2 linked regions of the Cricetulus griseus genome follow. Each later gene encodes a partner of the first gene's protein in a complex. Links are inferred from orthologs where the notes say so. Each region holds a gene or a part of one and is shown on either strand. Other genes may lie near its edges.

The links.
Region 2: the proteins of Mios (region 1) and Castor1 are in contact, whole or in part, in a cryo-EM structure (PDB 9LVK), measured with the Homo sapiens proteins. The link is inferred for Cricetulus griseus from reciprocal best matches to the Homo sapiens genes MIOS and CASTOR1. Residues at the interface, in NP_001357005.1 of Homo sapiens: Ala83, Asn84, Val109, Pro110, Lys111, His112, Ala113, Arg114, Asp134, Lys135, His136, Arg137, Asn184; in NP_001032755.1 of Homo sapiens: Val94, Ser116, Thr117, Tyr118, Gln119, Thr120, Asp121, Thr188, Tyr236, Leu255, Thr256, Ser257, Ser258, Ala295, Tyr296.

What each region holds. Positions count from the first base shown.
Region 1 is NW_023276806.1:216,952,580-216,955,755, reverse strand, and holds the end of Mios (GATOR complex protein MIOS), read left to right. Parts: intron 1-920; coding exon 921-1,050; intron 1,051-2,191; coding exon 2,192-2,288; 3' UTR 2,289-2,618; downstream 2,619-3,176. UniProt on the Homo sapiens protein: As a component of the GATOR2 complex, functions as an activator of the amino acid-sensing branch of the mTORC1 signaling pathway. The GATOR2 complex indirectly activates mTORC1 through the inhibition of the GATOR1 subcomplex.
Region 2 is NW_023276807.1:100,670,718-100,674,745, reverse strand, and holds the start of Castor1 (cytosolic arginine sensor for mTORC1 subunit 1), read left to right. Parts: upstream 1-1,205; 5' UTR 1,206-1,456; coding exon 1,457-1,569; intron 1,570-2,109; coding exon 2,110-2,180; intron 2,181-3,240; coding exon 3,241-3,428; intron 3,429-3,509; coding exon 3,510-3,642; intron 3,643-3,863; coding exon 3,864-3,987; intron 3,988-4,028. UniProt on the Homo sapiens protein: Functions as an intracellular arginine sensor within the amino acid-sensing branch of the TORC1 signaling pathway. As a homodimer or a heterodimer with CASTOR2, binds and inhibits the GATOR subcomplex GATOR2 and thereby mTORC1.

The DNA of each region.
Region 1 (3,176 bases):
CTTGGACTTGTACGTCTAGATTTTTGTTGTTGTTTTGTTTTTTGGCTTTTCTTGGTCTCACGCTGATGAATGATGCTGCAATTTATTTTCTACTACCATAAGTGTCTCGTTCTGGAATATAGCAGGATTTTCTGCTATAGTATTAAACATTTAATTTCCATATTTGTACTAGAATATGGAATAATGTGCTACTGTGAACATTTCATGTGTCTCCTTTATATATACAAACAGTGTCTCTGTTATATTTACCTAGAAGTAGAATTGGGTTGTGTTATTGCAAGATTCTGTTTGCCTGTATTTTACCTGTTATTTTTATGTCTGTTCAGGAGATAGGTTGGTTTGTAATCTTTCTTTCTCAGGCTGTTTTTTTTATTTTGGTCATTTTGTTAGCAAATTGTGTCAACCCCAAGAAGTATCACATGAGCTTTCTTTTTATCTTCTTTGGAAGAGTTTGTGTAGATGTTGGTGTTTGGTAAAACTCACCTGAAACCTCTGTCTATATTTCTTTTGGGAAAGGGTTTTTGACGAGTGTAATGTTTTTTAATTCAGGTAGTTTCTTAGTAGGTTTGAATAAGTTACACTTTGGCATTTTTTGTTAACCATTAAAAATATAGGTAAACTAGCCCGGTGTAATGACACAAGCCTTTTTTATCCCAGCATTTAGTAGGAGACAGAGGCAGGTAGATCTCTCTGAGTTCCAGGCTAACCTAGTCTACATAGTGAAAGGACAGCTAGAGCTGCATAGTGAGGCTGTCTTAAAACAACAACTAATGTGTGTATATGTGTATAAACTATTTAGTACTAGATCTTAATTGCTATTTCAATATGGTATATGATTTATATTTTAGCATAGTAACCCTTTAAGAAACTTAAACTGCTGTGGTGTGGCTAACAGTGATCAATTTTTTTTTTTCCCATAGGTGGATCGAAATCAGATGAAAAAGTGGACTTGAGCAAGGACAAAAAGTTAGCTCAGTTTAACAATTGGTTTACCTGGTGTCACAATTGTCGGCATGGTGGGCATGCCGGACATATGCTTAGTTGGTTCAGGTAAACTGCACTTTCCTTCCTTGATAATCTTACAGTTACAGGACATAGAGCAGATAGCCTTCTCAATAGTTCAGGCTCTTGGTATTATTGTATTATGTCGAATTAAGGAATTAATGTTTCTAAAACTTATTGCTTATTTGACTTAACAAAGGAAGTATCAATGGTTCCACTATTATCTTATATAATGTTAAACTATAAAAGTAATACCTATGCCAGGTTTGTGGTGGTACTTGACTTTGATCCAGCACTTGGGAGGAAGAAGCAGGTGGATCCCTATGAGATGGGTTTAGGAACAGCTTGAACATAGCAAATTCCTGGCTAGCCAGGGCTACATAGCATGACCCTGTTTTTAAGTTTTTTTATACTATAAATCCTTTGTATGGATTAAATGTTTAACATTCTTTAACCCCATTGGCGGGTAGGATATTTACAGTTTTTTATATCTTATAATCTCATGTAATTAAATTACGAATATAATTATACACACACATAAACACACACACACACACACACACACACACACACACACAAATCTACTACATTAGTTCTTTCCAAGTAATCTCCACATAAGTTGCTCTTGCAATGGAGATTCTCAAATAAACTAACTACTGATTTTGAACAGTGTTAGTGGTCCTGTGCCATTCATTAATATAACATTCTCATGAGCCTTCTCTCATTTTTGCTAACCTTAGTACAGCCCTGTCCCCTTAGTTACTGTTTTGGTATATAGTGTAGAAACTAAAACTGTTCATTTTCAGTAACAGTCTCCTCAAAGTTCACCTTGGTGATTGTTTCTAATTTGATGCTCCTTATTTTATTTATTTATTAAAAATATTTATTTACTACATAGACAGTGCTCTGCCTGAATGTATGCCTGCATGCCAGAAGATGGCACCAGATCTCTTTATAGATGGTTGTCAGCCACCATGTGGTTGCTGGGAATTGAACTCAGGACCTCGGGGAGAGCAGCCAGTGCTCTTAACCTCTGAGCCATCTCTTCAGCCCTAATTTAATACTCTTAATGCAGTTTTTTACTAAGGGTTTGAATTTATATGCTTAACCCAGTGGCATTTTGAAGATTGTTATATAAAGATTTCTGAATGTATAAAGATTCCTAACTGTTATTTCACCCTTTTTTCAGGGACCATGCAGAGTGCCCTGTATCTGCATGCACGTGTAAATGTATGCAGTTGGATACAACAGGAAATCTGGTACCAGCAGAGACTGTCCAGCCATGAAATGTTGTACCTAAAGAGAAACCTTCAAATGTGGAGTTTTTAAATAGATGTCCTTCATAGTTCAGAAACATACCTCAGAACAAGTCACTCATGACTTTCTTATAATGGGAAAATAAATCATTCTGTCTGATCAGCAATTTGACATTTGAGTGATTTTGATGTGCTTCTTAGAGGCAGATGCTGTTGAAAGAAACATCAGAGCATGAATATGAGTGCTATGCAGTAGGTTAAAGTTCATTTGAAACAACCTTCTAGGGTTTTGTCAACTATGAGTGTGTATAGAGGGTTTTAGAATAAAAACAGACCTTGTGTCAGCATTATCAATCTGAACTTGATATCTTTTGATAGAATCTGTACATATTTAAAGCCAAATGGCCAATTCAGTGGTTCAGATAAAAGTTTAAGATTCCATTCAGATAAAATATGAATTTTTACATTGAGAATTAGCACCTGACCTACACTGGAGTATAAATGTTAATATGTTTGAGAAAAGTACACGTGTGTGTGTGTGTGTGTGTATTTTAATGTGAATTTTTGACATAGATCATTGTTGCCTTCTTCAAAAAAATCCAAGTTAAGAGTGGACCAGTGAGGTGGTTCAGCAATAAGGGCCTTGCTTCCCATCCTAATGAACTGGATTCAATCCTTGGGGCTCACATGTTGGAAGCAGTGAATCTACTGATCTGTATAAGGGCGCCATGGCATGAGGCAAGCAGATGCACACACACTTAGAAAATAAGAAATGAATAAAATTTAATTTAAAAAGAATGTATCTCGAAACTTTTTTTTCTTTACAAAAGAGAAAAATTCGTGAAATTTCAGGAAAACATGCTAAAAAGTTTTTCAGTTTAATTTTTCTCTCTTCCTATGTTCTGGTTTGTCTTTGGA
Region 2 (4,028 bases), on another chromosome or scaffold:
CCAGAGGATCTGGGAAGCTCACTCACTCTCTGCCTTCTGCCTCTCACCCCAATGTTTTCCCACTGTCTACACCTGCCATGGTGAGTGGACCCCATCCCTCACCCCTAGTTCTTCAGAGGACAAGCCAGGATGTGGTGGCCGCACAATGTTCCATGAGAATCATCTGGAGCTAGAAAAGCCAGGAACAGGGCTGAGCCCAGCTTCCGTCTGCCTGTAGTACAGGATCCAGCGCATGAAGTCCTGCATGGGCCTGCTGGGTCCCAATCACACCCGAGACTGACTTTACCAGACCTTGTTCAAAGCCTCCAAGCTGAGGCTTGAGTGCCTGGGCCAAATTAGGGCCCCGTGGAGCATGCTGTGTCCTGCCAAGAAACCAACCTGTGTTTGCTCATTCCTGCTCACCCTTGGGGTCTTCTTAAACCTTCAGATGCTTGATCATACCTGGGGTGTCTACCAGTGCTTGGGGCCTTCTTGGATCTGAAGTAAATCTAGATGTGCTCAGGCCAGTTGAGTTCTGCTAATGGTGACAAACTTTAAGGCGACTTCTGCGGGGCTCAAGTCTCTGGCCTGAATACCCAGGGAGCCTCAAATGCAAGAGGCTGTCCCTTCAATGTCTGAGCCCTGGGCCTTCCCAGCTCAGGCACTTCTGGGTTGTTTCTCTGGAATAACCTCAAGCTTCAGAGCCCACTGTATGTTGCTCAGGTGATAGGTCGCTTTTTCTGTGCCTCCCTAGAGAGAAGTATTCAACTCTGGAAGTAGGGTGATTAAAAACCTGGGGCACACAGGCCAGGTTTCTCCTGGTCAAAACGATGGCAAGGTCAATACCAATTTCTGCCAGGGCAGCCCAAGCTTAGTGATCTTTAGTCCCTATCAGTCTCATCAGCTCTGCAGTCCCTGCCCCCAGCAATAAAAGGAAAGACAAAGGCCCCGCCCAGCTGTACCGCGCGCGGGTCTCTGGCCTCCACTCTGGAGCTTTGTGGACAGCATTTCGGCTCCAGCCGAACTCCGTCACGTCTTGAAGCCCTCCCGCGTCTTAATGGCCTCAACCATAAAGCCCCACGTGCAAGTCTGGAGGTTAGATAGGACCCCGAACTTCCGGCACGTTCCCAAACCCAACACTGCCCGCAGCGGAAAGGGCGTAGCCGGGGCGTGGCCTGGAGGCCACCGAGGGGTGGGAGCAGGCAGTGATCCTCAGACTGAGGCTACAGGAATGGACAGCGGGCGAAGGCTGGGTTCGAGGGCAGCCGGCAGCGCTGGGAAAGCAGGGCTCTGGAGGAGGCGTGGTCACTTCGTAGAGGCTGTGGGGCGTGGCCGCCGGAGAGTGGGTCGCTGGCTGGGCGGGGCCGCCGCGTAGCGGGCGGCGTGGAGCCCCTCACCGCGGCTCCTTTAAGCCGGGCGCCGCCCCGCCTCCTGCCTGGGTCTAGCTGGCGGAGGGGCCGTGGCCGTGCGATCTGCGATGGAACTGCACATCCTAGAACACCGGGTGCGGGTCCTGAGTGTCGCCCGCCAGGGCCTCTGGCTCTACACCCACCCACTCATCAAACTGCTCTTCCTGCCCCATCGCAGCCGGTGCGCACCCGGGTTCAGGGGCGCAGGTCAGACGGGAGGGGGCTCCTCTGTCATTCTAGGCCAGGGGCGGAGGATTAGGGCCATCTCGAGGTAGCGGGTACCGGGTGGGGACGCTGTCGGTTCTGGCCACCATCCGGGCCGGGCCTACCCTTTCTGAGACGCCGCCTATCCGGCCCGGAGAGCTCGCCTCCCAGGGCTTGTCAAGGTGCAAACTGCCTGGGATAGGCGTGTAGTGGGGCATGCCTTCCTAGCCCTGCCTTAGCCCTTTCCCAGGCGCCTCGCGTAAAGTTTAAGAATTGTTTAGGGGAACCCAAAGCCCGACACCTCTAGGGTGTGGAATGGAGGGAAGATCTGGAGTTGGAAATCAGCCGGAGATGGGACCCAGACCACGTTGCTCCAGGGAAGGAACTGAGGCCTGAGGGCGGGTCAGGAAGGCGCCCGGCGGGGGGTCCTTTAGTACTGCTGGAACGAAGTTCGCTTGTCCTCTCCAGCCCATTCACTCCAGCCTGAAAGTCTCCCCACCCCTTCCCTCCCCACTAGGTGCAAGTTCTTCAGCCTGACGGAGACCCCGGAAGATTACACACTCATGGTGGATGAGGAGGGTTTTAAAGGTGGGAACTGGCCCCTTGCTCACCAGTAAGCCGTATTCTTACCAAGTGCAGGGATGGATCCAGCTTCCCAAGGTCTCAAAGGCATATGAGTCTGGGTTCGAATCCTCCACCCCTCACTTAAGTTTTCTCTTATGTAAGACATAGTCTTGTCAGTTTAACAGTATTTATGAGAGCTTTATAAACTTAAAGCCCAGGAAGGGCAGGGTGTGAGTCCCAGGCCAGTAAGGGGTGTGTGTGTGTGTGGGGGGGGGGTTGTCTCACAGTTTTAGTCCCCATTAAGGGGTTCCTGTAGCTGTTTTAACCCACGGACATTATTTATTCTTGGAATTCTCTCGCCAGTGAAAGCCAGATCCTCCTTTACTGGCCCGGGAAGTCTAGGAGCCTGAGGGTTGGGGAAGGAATGCAGGAGCAGGCAGCAAGCCCAGAGCAGGGTCCTGGGGCCTCCTGGCTGTGTTTGGGCGAACAACAGCCACCCTGGCCCTTGTCCCTGTTCAGCATTGGGACCTGGGAACTGACTTCTGGCTCCCATTTCTGCCTTCCTGGCCTATCCTCTGAGGCCTAGAGTCTCAAGCCAGCCACCTGGAGCTTGGCCTAACCTCCCTCCTGAAGGACTTGGTTTCCCTGTTCTGTAGGGAAATCTCTTGTCTGCAAAGGAGCAACTCCCAATCAGTAGATTGCTTGGCGCCCTCTGGTGGTTCTATGAAGCCTATTAGGCCACAGAAAAGTCCCCAGGAATATCCCATTTTGCAGATAGGAAACAGACTAAACAGGCTTGGAATCACAGTGTTTTAGGAGGCTGTGGCAAGAGGATCAGTTTGGGTTCAAGCCTAGCCTAATTTACATTTTAAGACTCTGTCTCAAAACAAACAATGAAAAGCCACTTACCTCAAGTCACACAGCAAAGGTGAAGCTGGAACTTGAACCTGATTCCGAGTTTGAGAACACCTGCAAACGAAGCAGGGCAGAAATGATAGAAGACAGCCGTGCTCTTCAGACCTCACCTGCCTTGCTGGAACTCACTAAGGCTCACACTAACCAGGCGTGTACCTCCCGCCCACAGAGCTACCCCCATCTGAGTTCCTGCAAGTGGCCGAGGCCACATGGCTGGTGATGAACGTATCATCTCACAGCGGTGCAGTGATGCAGGCTGCTGGAGTTACCAAGATTGCCCGGTCTGTCATTGCCCCACTGGCCGAGCACCACGTGTCTGTGTTGATGTTGTCCACATACCAGACAGACTTCATCCTGGTGGGTTTGGGCAGGTGTTGATACAGGGCATAAGCAGAGGAGCCTGGAGCTGTATAATGTATGTCATTTGCCTTGACCCAGGTACGGGAGCAGGACCTGTCTGTAGTGATCCACACACTGGCCCAGGAGTTCCAAATCTACCGGGAAGTAGGCGGGGAACCTGTGCCTGTTGCCAGGGATGATTCCAGCAATGGCTTTCCCCGAGCCCAGCATGGTAAGGTCTGCCCTCCAACACCCAGATTTAGGTAGGACCTTTTACAGGAGGGCTTGTCCTTGAAAGGGATAGGATGGGTATTTCAATCGGACCAGCAGATACCGTTTCTCAATGTGTGAGACATTGGGATAGGCACACCCAGGCCCTTCCCTTCCCAACCACCAGGGGTCGCCCAAGCCCAGGATTGCCTTTTCACCTTGTGGCCCATGTATCCTGAGCAGGGCCCAGCCCCACGGTGCATCCCATTCAGAGCCCGCAGAACCGATTTTGTGTTCTCACACTGGACCCCGAAACATTGCCGGCTATTGCCACCACCCTCATCGATGTCCTCTTCTACTCACACAGGTGGGCCATGCGTGCACTTTATCTCTGGCCTTACACTAGTG